Pelodiscus sinensis: one gene and its partner. The protein of the gene in region 2 purifies or fractionates together with the protein of the main gene of each other region. This does not show direct contact. Links are inferred from orthologs where the notes say so. Each region holds a gene or a part of one and is shown on either strand. Other genes may lie near its edges.

Region 1 (7,193 bases), on a different chromosome or scaffold from region 2:
CTTCAAAACATACATAGAAAAAAAAAAGCATTTTAGAAACAAGCCAGTAAAATAGTGTGCACATATCAATAAAAACAAGTGTCAGGAAATTCATTTGTTATTCAGTTTATAAAAGCACTAGTAAAATCACTCCTACAACCACATGAACGAATTATCAAATATTCAAATGCACAAGCTTTATAATTCAACTGAAGCTTTTTTGTTTAATTTAAAAGTGTAAGGATAGGAGAAGAAATAGATACCAGAAAGGAAGAGGAATGGAAGTAAAAATAAAAGTAGAAGATATACCCCTTCTAAATAGCAATGGTAAGTTCAAGCCAGGTCACCCTAGATTGGTGACCTGGTATTCTGCCTTGGTTGCTGTAATCAGAACTGGGTTTTGCCCATGAAAGCTTATGATACTATCTATCTATATATTTGTGTTAGTCTCTAAGGTGCCACAGGACTATTCGGGGCTTTTTTAAAGTTACAGACTAACAAGGCTACCCCTCTGAGACCTTGTGCGCCAGAAACTAAACTAAACAAACAAAAAAAAACCCTACAAAAAAGTCTCCACCCATTATGGTTGCACAGAGAACACTGAAATTGTGAGCTAGCTGAAAAGAGACCCAATGAAGCTTGGCAAACTCAGCAAAGAGAGTGAAACAACGCTTCAAAGAGGTGTGAAATGCCTCTCTGTCAACGTGAAGAGCTTTGCAGGAGAGCAAGTACAGAGTAGCCCCTTCTCCTGCACCACTCAAGAACTCTGTAGAAGCAGGAAGTTATACAGCACTTCACATTTCTGTGGAAGTAAGGCAGGCCTGCATACCCGTTACCACAGCTATAGAGTAAAGCTAAATGCCATGCTTCCAATTTACTATGAAATACTACTAGAGCAAGATTTGGTCTTTGGTGCATAGTGAATAAAGCAAGAGTGAAATTCAACCGACAGCATACAAGCAACTTCATCTGTGTCATTCCCATTTTTAGGGGATTCATTTTAAAAATACATTAAAGCTGTATAGTAATCCCTCATTTAACACTATAGATGTGTTTCTGAAAATGTTCAGGCTAAGAGAAAACGTGCTATGCGGGGTAAATTTTCCCATTAAAAATAATGTAAAAGGTGGAGGTTGCATTTCAGGCAGTGGTGGCAAAGTCAATTTTTTGTTAGTGCTGGGTCGTCAACATTAGATATCTAGCAACACAAGTCACTGTGGTTTGTTAAAACACAAAGATAGACAGACACATGAGTGAGCAGAGAAGCGCTGTGACCACGTGTATTCATCCGTTCATGCATATTACCAGGGCTCGCCAAGCGGCGGTGAACCCCCCTCACCAGCTGTGCTGAGCGGCGTACTGCGCGGGCTTGTAATCTACTTGCCACAGGCAAGTAGATTACACTAATTGTCGAGCCCTGCGTATTATCACTGTTTTCACCAACTTATACCGCAGCGTGAAGTAGTCTGCCACTTGATTATTATCCTGTTATTTCGAGGACGGTTGTGTTATTTGAAAAACATTCCCTAAAAAAAATCGTGCTATTGCAAAAACGTGTAAAGTGGGCACATGTTAAATGAGTAAGTACTGTATGGAAGCTAATGCGTATCAGCTATTTGATAAATACAATTCACTGGTCTATTTGTAACTGACTTTAGACACAAAATTATGTTGGGGCAAGACAACTAAGACTAGGGGTTCCCAACATTTTGGGGCTGCCGGGCGCCTGGGGGCAGGGCCGCTTACGTGCTGCGCTTACGGGGGCGGGGTTGCTCACAGGCCACGTGCCTGGGGGCGGGGCCAAGCATGCGCCGCACGCTCCAGGCCGGCACCAGCATGTGCCGTGACCCCGGGCAGGGGCTGCCCAGGTGCTGTGTGCCTGGGGCCAGTACTGGCATGTGCTGCGACCCCGGGCAGGGGTCACCCATGCGCCCGGGGCTGACACCTGCCGCACGCCCAGGGCGGGGCCAGCCCAGATTGCTCCGCAAGTGCACATAAATGGCCCGGCGGGCGCCATGGCGCCCACGGGCTCCGCGTTGGGGCCCACTGAAGACGAACGTGGCACAATGCACAACTTAACCGGCTCCATGTAGATTCCTTAACGATTTTTATAGACAATCGAGTGGGAAAATGCTCAGCACGACGCCCGGGCTGACTGAGCTCGGGCCACATCTCTTCCCTGCCTGCTCAACAGTAACACGTGGAATAGCAACCCGGGCTGCGCCCACGAACGCTCGCGACCCCTCCCCACGCTCGGGGAGTCTGCACAGAGCTGCCGGAGCCCGGGGGGCTGTTTCCAGTTGAGGTGAACAGGCGCCACCCGCTGCCCGCGCGGACGCAGCAGGGAGCGGAAGGGAACGAAGCGGGGCGCAAAACAAAGCCGCTGTCAGGCCGCTTTCCAGAGCCGCCCGGCCCCGGCCCCTCAGAGGCTAATTTGCCTAAACCCGAGGTGCCTGCTGGTCAGATGGGCCGGTCACATGGTAGAGCCCGGGCGCCCCCTCGGCCCCCCCGCCCGCCTCAGCTGGCAACGGTCTCAAGGGAACCGTTTAACGGCCAGGAGAAGCCGGGCGCGGGGCAAGGAAACCCCCCCGGCGATGGCCCCGCCCCGCAGCGGGGGGCAGAGCGCGGCAGCTCCCCCAAGGGGGGCTCGGCCACCCCTCGTCGGGGTCCCCCCTCCCCTGCGCCCTCAAGCAGAGGGCGCGTCGCGGGATCAGCAACGGCTCCTCAGTCACTCACGTTCCGAGGCCTCGGCGCCCCGCCGCCTGGGCTCCGGCTCCTTGGCCCCGGCCGCGGCTCTTCGTCGCGTCTGCATCTCGGCGGTGGCTGCCCGGAGCTCAGGCGCGAGACGGCTCTCGGCGCGTTCTCCCGCCGCGCGGAACGCCTCCCCCGCCGGCCGCGTTTCCGTCCGGACACGCCCTTGCTCTTCCGGGGCGGAAGCCGCTGCCGTCGCAACTAGGTGATTGGCTTCGCTTTCCTGAAAGCCTCACTTCCTGTCGGCCATGTTGAAGGGCGGAAGTCTGCGGGGAGGGCCGCTTCTCTTGCAGGGCTTTTCCCGCGAGCCCTCCCCGCTGGACTGGAAGTCACGTGATACAGCACCGTGTCACAGCTGCGCTCGCTCTTTGCTTAGCTCTCAGCCCCTGTTCTGCCCCGCAGCTGTCAACAGCTGGGGCTGGTCCCCGCCCCCTATCGCCCCCTCTACCCCCTCCCCGCTATCCTCCCTTCCCGGCCGATTTCTGTCCCCGCCCCCCCATTCCCCTTTTCCCCCCTCTCCCTTCCCCTTTCTGTCCCTGCCCCCCATCCGCCCTTTTCCCCCTCTCTCTCCCCCTTTCTGTCCCTGCTCCCTCTATCCCCACTTTTCCCCTCCCCCGCTTTGTCCCCACCCCCTTTATCCCCTCTCCCTCCCCCCTTTCTGTCCCCGCCCCCTCTCCCTCCCCCCTTTCTGGCCCCCGCCCCCTCTATCCCCCCTTTCTCCCCTCTCCCTCCCTCGCTTTCTGTCCCCTTCTCCCACAGAGCAGGGGCTGGCACTGTCCCCTTTCCCGTGGACTTGCCTTAGCCCCATTCTCCAGGCGGCAGGGGCAAAGCGAGGGGCGAGGAGTTTGCGCAGTGGGGTAGGGGGCTGAGAGCTAGTGAAGCAAAGTGTAAACCCTGGATGGGATGAAAACCACTTCAGGCCCTGGGAGGTGCACCAACGCCCTTAGTTCCAGCACCAATTGAAAAGGGACACTGGGAGCTGCTGCCCCAGTGATTTCTGGGGAGGTGGAAGCAGGATAGCTCCTTGCCCTAAGAGTTTGCAGCACTCTAGCCTCTGAAATAGGTTTTAAAACGGGCTCCTCCAGTCCCAGCAGTGCTGCTGGAGGCTCTTGGCCAACAGGGCCCCCCACATGTAGCTTTGGAAAGTCTAGCACTTATGATAGTTGGGGGCAGGGAGATGGTTCTGGGAAGCTTCTCAGTTGGTCCCCATAGTTTGTTTTAAACAAGCTTGGGAGGAATGGGCTATGAAAGTGACTAGCAACAAAAGTGAAATTGACCTGTCTCCACATGGCCCTTTGAGAGAAATGGAAAAGCTACAGCCACAAGCAGGGAGAAGGCAATGAGACAGGCAAAGGACTGGGAGTCCAGAGTGCTTTTGTCATAGCTTTTCTGCCTGTACTTGAACAAGCGGTTTCACACACACTAAACCCAACTCACATGAGAAGCCCCATTAAAGTCAATGGAGCTACTCACATATATGTAGCAACTTCTACATATAAGCATTTTTTGGGTTGGTGCCTAGGAGTACTTCAATTTTGCCATAAAATGGGATTAACGAAATATCTACCTGTGGGGGTTGATGCGATTGCAAATCACTAATATGTTGTGCAAAAGAGTTATGAGATTAAAAACAATGAAATTAACATAAATGTATATATTGTTTTTCCTAAGATTGTCAATTGGTTAAAAATGTAATTGTGATTAATTATGTTGTTAATAATAGAAAACCATTTATTTAGCTTCAGAGGGGTAGCTGAGTTAGTCTGTAACTGGAAAAACTTTAAAAAAACCAATCAGCCTACCAGCACCTTAAAGACTAACAAAACATGTAGATGGTATGAGCTTTTGTGGGTACAACAGCAGAAGTGGGTTGTACCAACGAAAACTCATGATATCATCTACATGTTTTGTTAGTCTTTAAGGTGCTGCTAAACTATTGGTTGTTTTTTAAGTTTACCATTTATTTAAATACTTGTGGATGTTATCTTCATTTGCAAATATACTGCTCTCAATTACAACATAGAATACAAAGTGAATACAAAGTGTTCACTTTATTAAAATATTTGCACTGTAAAAAAACAAAATAAATAGTATTTTTCATTCAACTGATACAAGTACCGTAGTGCAATCTCTTTATCGTGGGGGTTTAACTTACCAAGATAGAATTATGTACAAAAAGTAACAGCATTCAAAAATAAAATAATATGAAACCTTGTTATCAAGCAGAATCCATCATAAGCATGGAAGGAGGTCCTCTGAAATAAGAAGCTGGTAGCAGTATCTCCCATAGATGTAAAAAAACTTGCTTTTCTTTGCGTTAGTTCTACCTCTTGTTCAACCTAAATGAATCTGTAGGCTCTAAAGTTTTACATTGTTTTGTTTTTGAGTGCAGTTATGCAACAAAACAATCTACATTTTTAAATTACACTTTCATGATAAAGAGATTGCACTACAGTGCTTGTATGAGGTGAATTGAAAAATACTATTATCATTTTTAGAGTGCCAATGATAGTAATCAAATGTAACCATATAAAGTGAGCACTGCACGCTTTGTATTCTGTGTCATAATACAAATCAATATATCTGAAAATTTAAAAAAGCATCCAAAATATTTAATACATTTCATGTGGTAGTCTGTTGTTTAACAGTGTGATTAAGCACAATTAATTTTTAATTGTGATTAATTTTGAGTTAATTGTGTGAGTTATCTATGATTAATCAACAGTTCTAATTATTCCTTTCCTGTAACAAATAGTATGGAAGTTTGATTTTTATAAATACAATTTTTAATGACACACAGCACCCAGGGTGGTTTACAAGTACAGCATATAATGTTATCTGGGATCAATCTGGATACAAGATATGATGTAAATTCAAGATCATCAGAGCTATCTCATCCATAGAATGGTTGGGGTGGCCCCGAGCCCTGCATTTTGGGGAACCCTATGATGTCAGGGCAGCCTCGGTGATTACCCAGGGGTTCTGGGACAGTAGCAGGGTCGGGCCCAGCCCCGTACTCACCAGGGAGCGTGGGAGCCACAGGAAGCGAAGCAGTCCAGCCTCAGCACGCTCTGCTTCGCCATCTCCTAGGCGGAAGTAGGTGCCAGAGTCCTAACCTCCTCCAGTCTCCTGAGCAACAGGGCTTGAAGCTGGGCTCGGGGGCTGTGTCTGCACTGGCCACTTATTCCGGAAAATCAGTCGCTTTTCCGGAATAACTTGCCAGCTGTCTACACTGGCCCCTTGAATTTCCAGAAAAGCACTGACGATCTACTGTAAAATCATCAGTGCTTTTCTGGAAAAACTATGCTGCTCCTGTTCGGGCAAAAGTCCTTTTCCGGAAAACTGTTCCAGAAAAGGGCCAGTCTAGACAGCACAGTAGTGTTTTCCGCAAAAAAGCCTCGATCGCAAAAATGACGATCGGGGCTTTTTTGTGGAAAAGCGCGTCTAGATTGGCCACGGACGCTTTTCCGGAAAAAGTGCTTTTCCAGAAAAGCATCCTGCCAATGTAGACACGCTTTTTCCGGAAATACTTAAAACGGAAAACTGTTCCGTTTTAAGCATTTCCGGAAAAGGGTGCTAGTGAAGACGTAGCCAGGGAGTAGAGCAGGCTAGGGCCAGGTTATTCTGCTTCCCACCACCACAGGAGTACAAGGGGGGTAATGGCCCCCCAGTAATTCCCCAGGCCATGTTGCTTGGGAGGAGGCAGTGTTGGTTCAGGCAGAGGTGGGGGAGGAGTGGAGCAGGGACGAGGGTTGGAGTGGGGACGGAGGCAGGGGCAGAGGCAGGGCTGGCCTTACTATGAGGCGAACTGAGGCGGCTGCCTCAGGTGCCAGACTGGGGGGGGGGGGGGGGGGCGCCACTAGAACCCAAAGTGTAGAAAATTGTGTCTGCTGCTGGTGCAGATGTATTCTCTCTACTCTAGATGCACAGAGATGGTGAAGTGATGTGCTGGAGGAAGGAGGGCACAAGAGACAACAGGCAGGCAGGAGAAAAGGGGGCATCATTTGAACTCCCCGCCGCAGTTGCCAAAATGTAGTGGGCTGGCCCTGTGGGGGGAGGAGAGGGTGTTGTTCCAGGCTCCACAACCACCTAAGGAGGGTGCTGACGATCATTATTAGATTTATTTTTCTCATATAGATTTGAGCAAATACAGCACACAACGTATATACAAATGATTTAGGCAAGGCTGATTTAACTATAAAATGAAGAGGTCCTAAAGGGTTTTTATTTTACTAAACCTGGGAGGGACTGGGGGAAGGGAGGAAGACAGCACCTCATTCCTACAGCAAAGTCCATCTTATTTAGGCTGATGCCTTTTTTTTCATCCTGGAACATTGTAAATTATTTAAGGAGACACGGACATGCTCTGAGCACTTCGTAAGAATGTGGGACAACAACTTTTCTCACTTCCTAGCCTCTCTACCTCTCAAGTCTGATGTTTATTAAAGAAGAAAAAAATGTTT
Region 2 (7,785 bases):
CTCTCTTTTGTTTGGTGCCATATTAATTAATATTCATTTCAATGTGTCCAGGACATATAAGCTAAATATGTGAAGCCTCTCTCTAGCAATTCTATGCTATTTCAAACACTGTAGAATGCATCACTGCAAACTCTCCCTCTAAAGCAAACTTTGCAGCACAAATAATACTGGAACAAATTATTAATCAATTTTTAAGCATCTTCAGGATAACTGTGTTATAAGAAATAGCCAGCATGGATTTTTTTCAGGAACAGATCATGCCAAAACAACCTAATTTCCTTCCTTAATTGGTCTAATGAATACCGGGTGAAGAAGTATCTGTGATGCATATGGCCCTACCAGATTCCTGATGGTGAAAAACATCACAGACTGTGAAATCTGATCTCATCCATGAAACCAGACTAGTGCAGGGAAGTTGCAGTATTGCCATCCTTACTTCTGCGCTGTCTTTAGAGCTGGGCAGCTAGAGAGTAGTGGTTGCTGGCCAGCATTGAGCTCTGAAGACAGTGGTGCCACCAGCACCAGTACAGAAGTGAATGTGGCATGCTCTGAGGAGGGGCGTCACTTCTGAAGGTGATGATAGAACTGGCCTTGTGGGTGGGCAACATGGTCATCCTCCTCCCCTCTACCACATACAGCCAGCTCTAGGGCCCTTTGACCCCTGAGTGTTGGGAAGGAGCAGAATTGGGGTGCTCTGGTTCCAGCAGCTAGCCTTGGATGGGCTGTAAGGAATGAGACTTCCTCTTCCCCTGCATGGGCCATTCCTGGGGCTGGATCAGACCCACCTCCATCAGTACCACAGAAGCAAGGGATGCAATACTGTACCATGCCATGCTTACTCCTGCATTGCTGCTGTCAGTGGTGTTGCCTTCAGAACTGGGCACCCATCCAGCAGCTGCCATTTCCAGCCACCACTCTCTGAAGGCAGCACTGCTGCCAGCAACAGTTCAGAGGTAAAGGTGGGAATACTGTGGCCCTCCTACAATAGCCTGCCTACACATGCACATACTTTGTGTCAGGACCCCTAAAGTTATAACATTGTGAAATTTCCGATTTAAAATGTCTGATAACATGAAATATAAGAATTTTAAAATGCTATGATTTGGTAGGGTCCATGGGCTATAGTTAGACTTCAGTAATACTTTTGACACAATCCCACCTGAAATTCTCATAAGTAAACAAGTAAAATGTGGTCTAGATGAAATTACACTAAAGTTACTGCACAACTAGTTGAAAGATTGTTATAAAAAAGTAGTCAAATTGGGAGGGCATTTCTAGCAGTGTCTTGAAGGGGTTGGACCTAGATTCAGAACAATTCATTATTTTCATTAATGTCTTGGATAATGGAGTGGATTGCATGCTTATAATATCTACATATGACACCAAACTGTGAGGGATTACAAGCTTTTGGAAGGGCACAATTAAAAACCAAAATGACCATGACAAATTGGAGAATCCAGAGGAGGTCAACAAAAAATGATAAAAGGTTTAGAATACCTGGCCTATGAGAAAAGGTTAAAAAACAATGGGCATGGTAAGTCTTGAAAAAATAAGATTGAAGGGGGGAACCTGATAACAGTCTTCAAATATGTTCATGGCTGTTATATGCTCATGCTCAATTGTTCTCCATGTCTCCTGAAGCCAGAACAAGAAATAACAGGATTCATTAGCAGCAAGGGAGATTTAGGTTAGATATTTCTAACTGCAAGGGTAGTTAAACTCTGGATTAAGTTTTCAAGGGCAGTTATGGAATCTCTATCACTGAAAGTTTTTAAAATCAGGTTGGTCAAACACCAGTCAGGGATGATTTTGACTGACTTGGTCCTGTCACAGAACAAGATCTTGACTTGGTGACATTGAGGTTCCTCTAGCACTACAGTCTATGATTTAGGTCTCGTAATTAGCTGTGTTATTAACAAGGAGTGCCTAAACTCTAATCCTAGCTATTATAATTAACAATATAATATAATTGTCTTGATAATGATGCTATACCAGTTTATACAGGGCCTGTATCACACTCCAAGACATTTTTTTTTAAAATGCCAAAATAATATGTAGAGGGGTTTGAATCCTAAAATGCGTAAGACAGGTTGGTGGAAAGCTTCAGAATTCACTCAAGACCCATAAAACACCATGCAGATGAGCCCTTATGGTTTAACATGTCCTGAGGATAATGTTCTTACTTAACTCCAGCTATAAACTGGTTTATGATACACAGCACAAGGGTTTTAATTACTAACAGGGCTGCATCTCTATTGCTATTCTACATTCTAGCAGAACTGCTTCTTTTTACCATGTGTATGCGTGTCTCGTCCCTACTGAGGCTAAGAGTTTCATAGGAACGAAATGACATTTCGTGCCAGTCAGTTCCACATACTGTGCGGTCAACTCATTATTATATCACAAACCTCATGATATTTTTTTTGATCTGAGGAAGTGGGTCTGGCCCACGAAAGCTCATCAGCTAATAAACCATCTTGTGAGTCTTTGAAGTGCTGCATAGTCCTGCATTTTGCTCATGATATTTGGTGTCTTTCTTAACACCGCACCTGCTAGAATGAGGCGACTCAACGTCGTTGTCACAAGAGACGCCCCTCGCTGCCATGCTCGAGAAGGGTAAAAGCACGAAGACGGGACACGCGCGAACCCTCAAGGCCAAGCCGGGCGGCGGAGTCCAGGTTGCGTAACCCCGCGAGGCTAGCGGGCGCTCTGCAGGGCGTCGCCTGTCCCCACCGCCCCAGGCCTCCCCCGCCGCCACTAGCCCGCAGCCCCCACCGGCCCGGCCCCACCTGCCCAGAGCCCTTCCCCTCACCCAGGCGCCCGGACCCCCTCAGGGCCGGCCCCTCCCCCTGCCGCGCACCTTCTTGCCTGCAGTAGGACATGGTGAGGGATGGGCTGGTCTCTCCGCAGCTCCGGCCCGCGGCGACTGACCTGACTGACCCCGCCAGCGACCCGTCCGTACCCGCCAGCCCCTGAAGCAGCAGCAGCAGCCGGCGCGCGCCACACTGCGACCTCTCACCCTGCACCCGGAAGGACCCCGGGAGGAGGGGGCTGCCCCCTGCCGCGCCTGATTGAGAGCCGGATGGCTGGGAAGCGGGGTCCCTCTACCGGTCGCCGCCCAGCGCGAGGAGCCGCAGAGAGCGGGAGCTTTAGGGGTCACCTTTCTGCCTATCCCAGCGTGCTTTGCGTTTTGCCGCGCTTCCTTCGGAAACAGTCCTTCGTCGCGTCCTGAAGAGAGCGAGCGGCTGTCAGAGCTCGGATTCGCTAGGGCAGCGGCGCGGACTACATTTCCCAGCATGCCCCACAGCGGGCAAGCTGGGAAACTACATTTCCCGGCATGCTCCCACAGAGACAAAACCAGAAACTACATTTCCCAGCATGCCTCGCCCTGGGGAGTTGCTGCTCTGGGCCAGGGTGTTCAGTGCAACAGCGTGGCCTTTGGGCGGCAACTTTCTAGCGGCTACGCTCGGGGTTTGTACCTGCTGCCTTAGCCTGGCTGCGGCTGAACATGTCCGGGCATGTAAGTGTGAGAGCCCCGCACCCAGCCTGCTACCGTCCTGCAGCGCTGCGACCCCGCTCCCGGATCGCCCCTGCCCGCTGCTTGCTTCTCCCTCCCGGGCAGGGCGCTCCTCGCCTGCTCCCTCTCCCGTGTTGGCTCTCACCCGGGTAGATGCCTCTTGAGGCTCCGGGAAGCCCGTGTGGCTCTTAAGGGGCAGTTGCATGTAGGGTATAAACATTGTCTGGAGCCAATGCCCAGATTGGAACAGAAAGGGGTGGGAGATGGTCACTCCCTTCTTATTTTCTAAAAAAAACCCAGCTCTGTAAATCTTGTTTAGCTCCCCAAGGCAATTCCAAGACTGTTCCTTGTTATTCCCCGCCGCCAAAATAAGCACCTACTGCGTTTTCCACTTCAATAGTATCTCGCTTTCAGTCGCAAGACAGCACTACGGTAATGTTTGTTTATATCAATGGTTCTTAAGCTGGAGTGCACGCACCCACTGGGGGTGCGAGACGCCTTTTCTGGGGGTGCGAGACATGCCAGATTTGTATGATGAATCTTAGGTTTAAAACTGACCTACTTCAACGATTTTTAATAGGGGGTGCAAGAACATTTTGAGAAGCAAAGGGGTGCAGGCTGCAGTAAGGTTAAGAACCACTGGTTTATATCCAATCAGCCAAAGCCATTTATTGCCCAGGATGCTTCATAAGGGAGACATAGCACTTTATTTTTTGAAAAATGTTGTCAATTATTTCATAGGACTATAAAATATCACAGTAAAGTGCTCCATTTTTATATGGTAGGGGTACCAGAAATATAATTTAGCCTGCCAAAGACCAAATATAGGATATTGACACAAAATGAGAAACCTAGCAAAGCATATCTCTGGAAAGTTTAAAAAATATGCTGGACTATTACAGTGTAAATTATCTCATCCAGTAAACCTCAGTTCATTTACAGTTGGGTTTTTTGTATAAATAATTATAAGCAATAAAAGTGAGATGAGACATGTTTAACTGGGAGAGAGATCAGGTTTGCTTCAATTCAGGAGACGTAACTTTTTAACAGTGGGCCCTGATGAGTGGCAGAGCAATTTCTGCCTGAGCTACGAAGTTATTTCATGTTTGCTTTTTTCTTTACCAGTTCTCTGACATAAGTGGCAAGAAAGAACATGTTAAAATCACAAGTGAGCCCAAGCCAGGGTTTCTGGAGCGACTCAGTGAAACTTCTGGAGGGATGCTAATTGGGCTCTCAGCATTTTGTCTCTCTTTTTACCTTCTTTTTACCAATGAGGTAAGTGAAACACTATTAACCTTTGAATTTCTATTAACCTTTGAATTTCTTTTCAAGTGTATGTTCGCCTTTATGCCCAAAGTTCAGTGCTCTTCAAGATAAAAGTCTTCTTCCTAAATATTTGTATCATCATGTTGCTGAACCTATTCCAGGTTTCATCTAGAACTGAGTGGAGAGTACTGATAGGATATATCTGAATAAGATGAGATCCATTGGCAGTGGAGTGGATTGATTGGGAAGTGGTGAGAAAAATGGGTTAACAGCAGTTGAAAAATGTGATTAGAAGTTTAGGATTAAACAAAGACTGAATGGCTAGCCAGCTACAAAAGCAGTTTCTCCTCCCTTGGTGATCACACCTCCACATCAGCTGCAAAAAGGGGGCCTCATCCTCCCTGACTGAATTGACCTCTTTATCTCTAACCTTACTCTTGATTGGAACTTTTGTCTTTTGCCTGTATATTTATACCTGCCTCTGGAATTTCCACTACATGCATCTGATGAAGTGGGTCTTTGCCATGAAAGCTTATGCTCCAATCAATCTGTTGGTCTATAAGGTGCCACAGGACTTCTCGTTGTTTTTGCAGATTCAGACTAACACGTCTACCCCTCTGGTGATTGGAAGTGTTTGTATGGACTTGCATGCGTCTTATGTGCTAGTGCACCTCATTTGTGTCTGTAAATTCTGCTTCTTGCTGCACAGCAGAGACAGTTGTAATAAGGATGGAGCTGAAACACAGAATGAATCACTATTGAATATGGGAATCATAGGTTGTCTGGCTGACTTGTTTCACTGGTCTCAGAAAACAGCTTATCAATGAGCAGAGGTTTTTACACTGTCATTGCATCCTCATTCTCTTGGTATATTGCAAGGCAGATAAATTATCTTAAAGTTATTTAATGCATTAGGTCAAACTGTCTCTTTTAGTTCATTCCTAGGATGATCTTGGGTCCTGATCCTGCAAACATGTATGTTCTCAACGTTACTACTTTGAAGAGTCCCATTAAAATCTACAGAACTACTTGTAATAGTAAAGTTAAGTGCATGCATAAGAGTTTGTGGGATTGAGGCTGTAATCTGTTATCCTGGTGGTATTTCTAGTTAAAGCTGGTTGGAACATTTGGGGTGGGAGCAGAATTTTGTGAAATTTAATTTCAGATTTTCATCAGTTTTCTGACCATTGCTATTTAGATGAAAGAAGGAAACGGTTCACAGGTTTAGGAGATTGTTTCTTGTCCTACAATCTGAAGATAAGGGGGAAAATTGTTAGACTAAATCAGAACAGTCAGACAGTGGAACAAGTTCACAATGGTGCCACCTCAGTGCAGTTACTCAAAAACAACAGGTAAGATACAAAGTGTGAAGGAATAATTTCAGGGGCTTAGCCTGCAACTTCGATGTGCCTGTAACGTCCATTAAAGTCAGCGTGATTATTACATGTATTGCACTCTCATGCTGGTATGAATCAGGAGCAGTTCTACCTACTTAGGGATGTTAAGTGTTTATTTTTGTAAACGTGTAACTGACATTTACAGCAGTTACATGTTTACATGGGAGTGGGGTAGGTGGGAGCTGGTGCTCATAGGAAGCTGGCTTTTAAGCTGGTTTCCCTGGAAACACCATTTCTCACCTGCCCCTCTTCCCCCCCCCCCCTATATCAGAGGCAAAAGTGCAGGAAGGCAGTCAGCTCCATGGGAACTGGTACTTACCTCCCCCTCACCTCATGCTGTTGCCTCTGGGAGGCAGCAATGCAGGGGAGGAGGCAGCTCCCTGGAAGCTGGTACACAAGGGGAGTTGTCTTAAAAGCTGGCTCCCTTGCCCCTTTCCCTCCACCTCTGATATGGAGGCAGTAGTGGTGGGGGGAGAGGGAGGGCTGTGTATGTAACTGTTAGGATTAATTGTGTAAACACATACATGTTCACATCTCTAGTTCTATTTGCTTCAGTAGAACTACCTATGCGAGTGGTGTGGTTTTTTTTAAGCGTGCCACCTGTTTTTGCTAGCCTGATTACTCCCACGAGTAAGAGATTGTGGGATAATCCCTGTGCACATGAGTAGATCCATTAAGGTCAGTGTTCTTAATTTCACAAATAAGTACTACTCTCTAAAGTATCGGACATAAAATTGTGACAGATGGGAAGTGCAGATGTGTTCTTAGGTTTTGCCTATTGCATATAACCTACTAGCACTTCATGGAAGCTGTGCCCCATCTGGTATTAAACTAACAAAGTGGCACTGTTGGTACCTCCACATGTGTGGGTTTTTTTTTTTTTAATTTTGTTTTGTCTCTTTTTTAATTGACTACAGGGACGAGCCTTGAAGACAGCCACTTCCCTCGATGAGGGGCTTTCTCTTGTAGTCTCTCTTGACAATATTTTCAGCATGTCTCAACAGAATGAGGGAAAACTAGTGCACTTGTCAGGTGCCCTTAAAACATCAAAGGTAATTAAACAATAGTTGGTTTGAAAATAATGCGTGAACTAAAAGGAGGGAAAACTCTTCACTGGCAAATTGAAACTGTACACGCTTGATATAAAATATTATTGTGGGCTGTAAATCTCCCATCCAAAAATGTTCCTCCCCTTTCTTATGGTGTATGTTTGGAATCCAGCTGTGCATTTGTGAAGACACCAAGTGCTGAAGCTGTACATCTTCTGCGTGTTCGAGAGATAGTGATGCTCTTCATAGTTAATTTTTTTTGCAAGAGAGCGTGTGATGCAATAGTGGCCAGAAGTGTGAGCCAATTACTTAACTTTCTCAGATTCTTCAGTTTGAGTTCACCTGTAAGCAGATAGAGTGGTGTATACCCTGTCTTTTAAGGTTTATACATCCTATCCATCACTGAGATGTCTCTGTGACTTCATGGAATTTCACACTTTTGACCATGCTAAATATATCTCATTAACAAAATGGAGATAGGTTTTTGTCACATGTGATTTTGGAAAGCTTAACGTGCATGAAATTCTTCAAGATCCTCAGATGAAAAGTTATGCAG

What was found.
Region 1: the proteins of CHCHD4 (region 2) and torsin-1A-interacting protein 1 purify together in Homo sapiens (co-immunoprecipitation; 3 studies listed by BioGRID and IntAct, with this or other methods). This does not show direct contact. The link is inferred for Pelodiscus sinensis from reciprocal best matches to the Homo sapiens genes CHCHD4 and TOR1AIP1.

Annotation. Positions count from the first base shown.
Region 1 is NC_134719.1:59,452,191-59,459,383, forward strand, and holds the start of torsin-1A-interacting protein 1, read right to left. Parts: upstream 3,002-7,193; 5' UTR 2,792-3,001; coding exon 2,716-2,791; intron 1-2,715. UniProt on the Homo sapiens protein: Required for nuclear membrane integrity. Induces TOR1A and TOR1B ATPase activity and is required for their location on the nuclear membrane. Binds to A- and B-type lamins. Possible role in membrane attachment and assembly of the nuclear lamina.
Region 2 is NC_134721.1:22,075,558-22,083,342, reverse strand, and holds the start of CHCHD4 (mitochondrial intermembrane space import and assembly protein 40), read right to left. Parts: upstream 3,021-7,785; 5' UTR 2,883-3,020; coding exon 2,861-2,882; intron 1-2,860. Other genes in the region: TMEM43 (transmembrane protein 43), read left to right, coding at 3,509-3,520, 4,643-4,792, 7,098-7,232.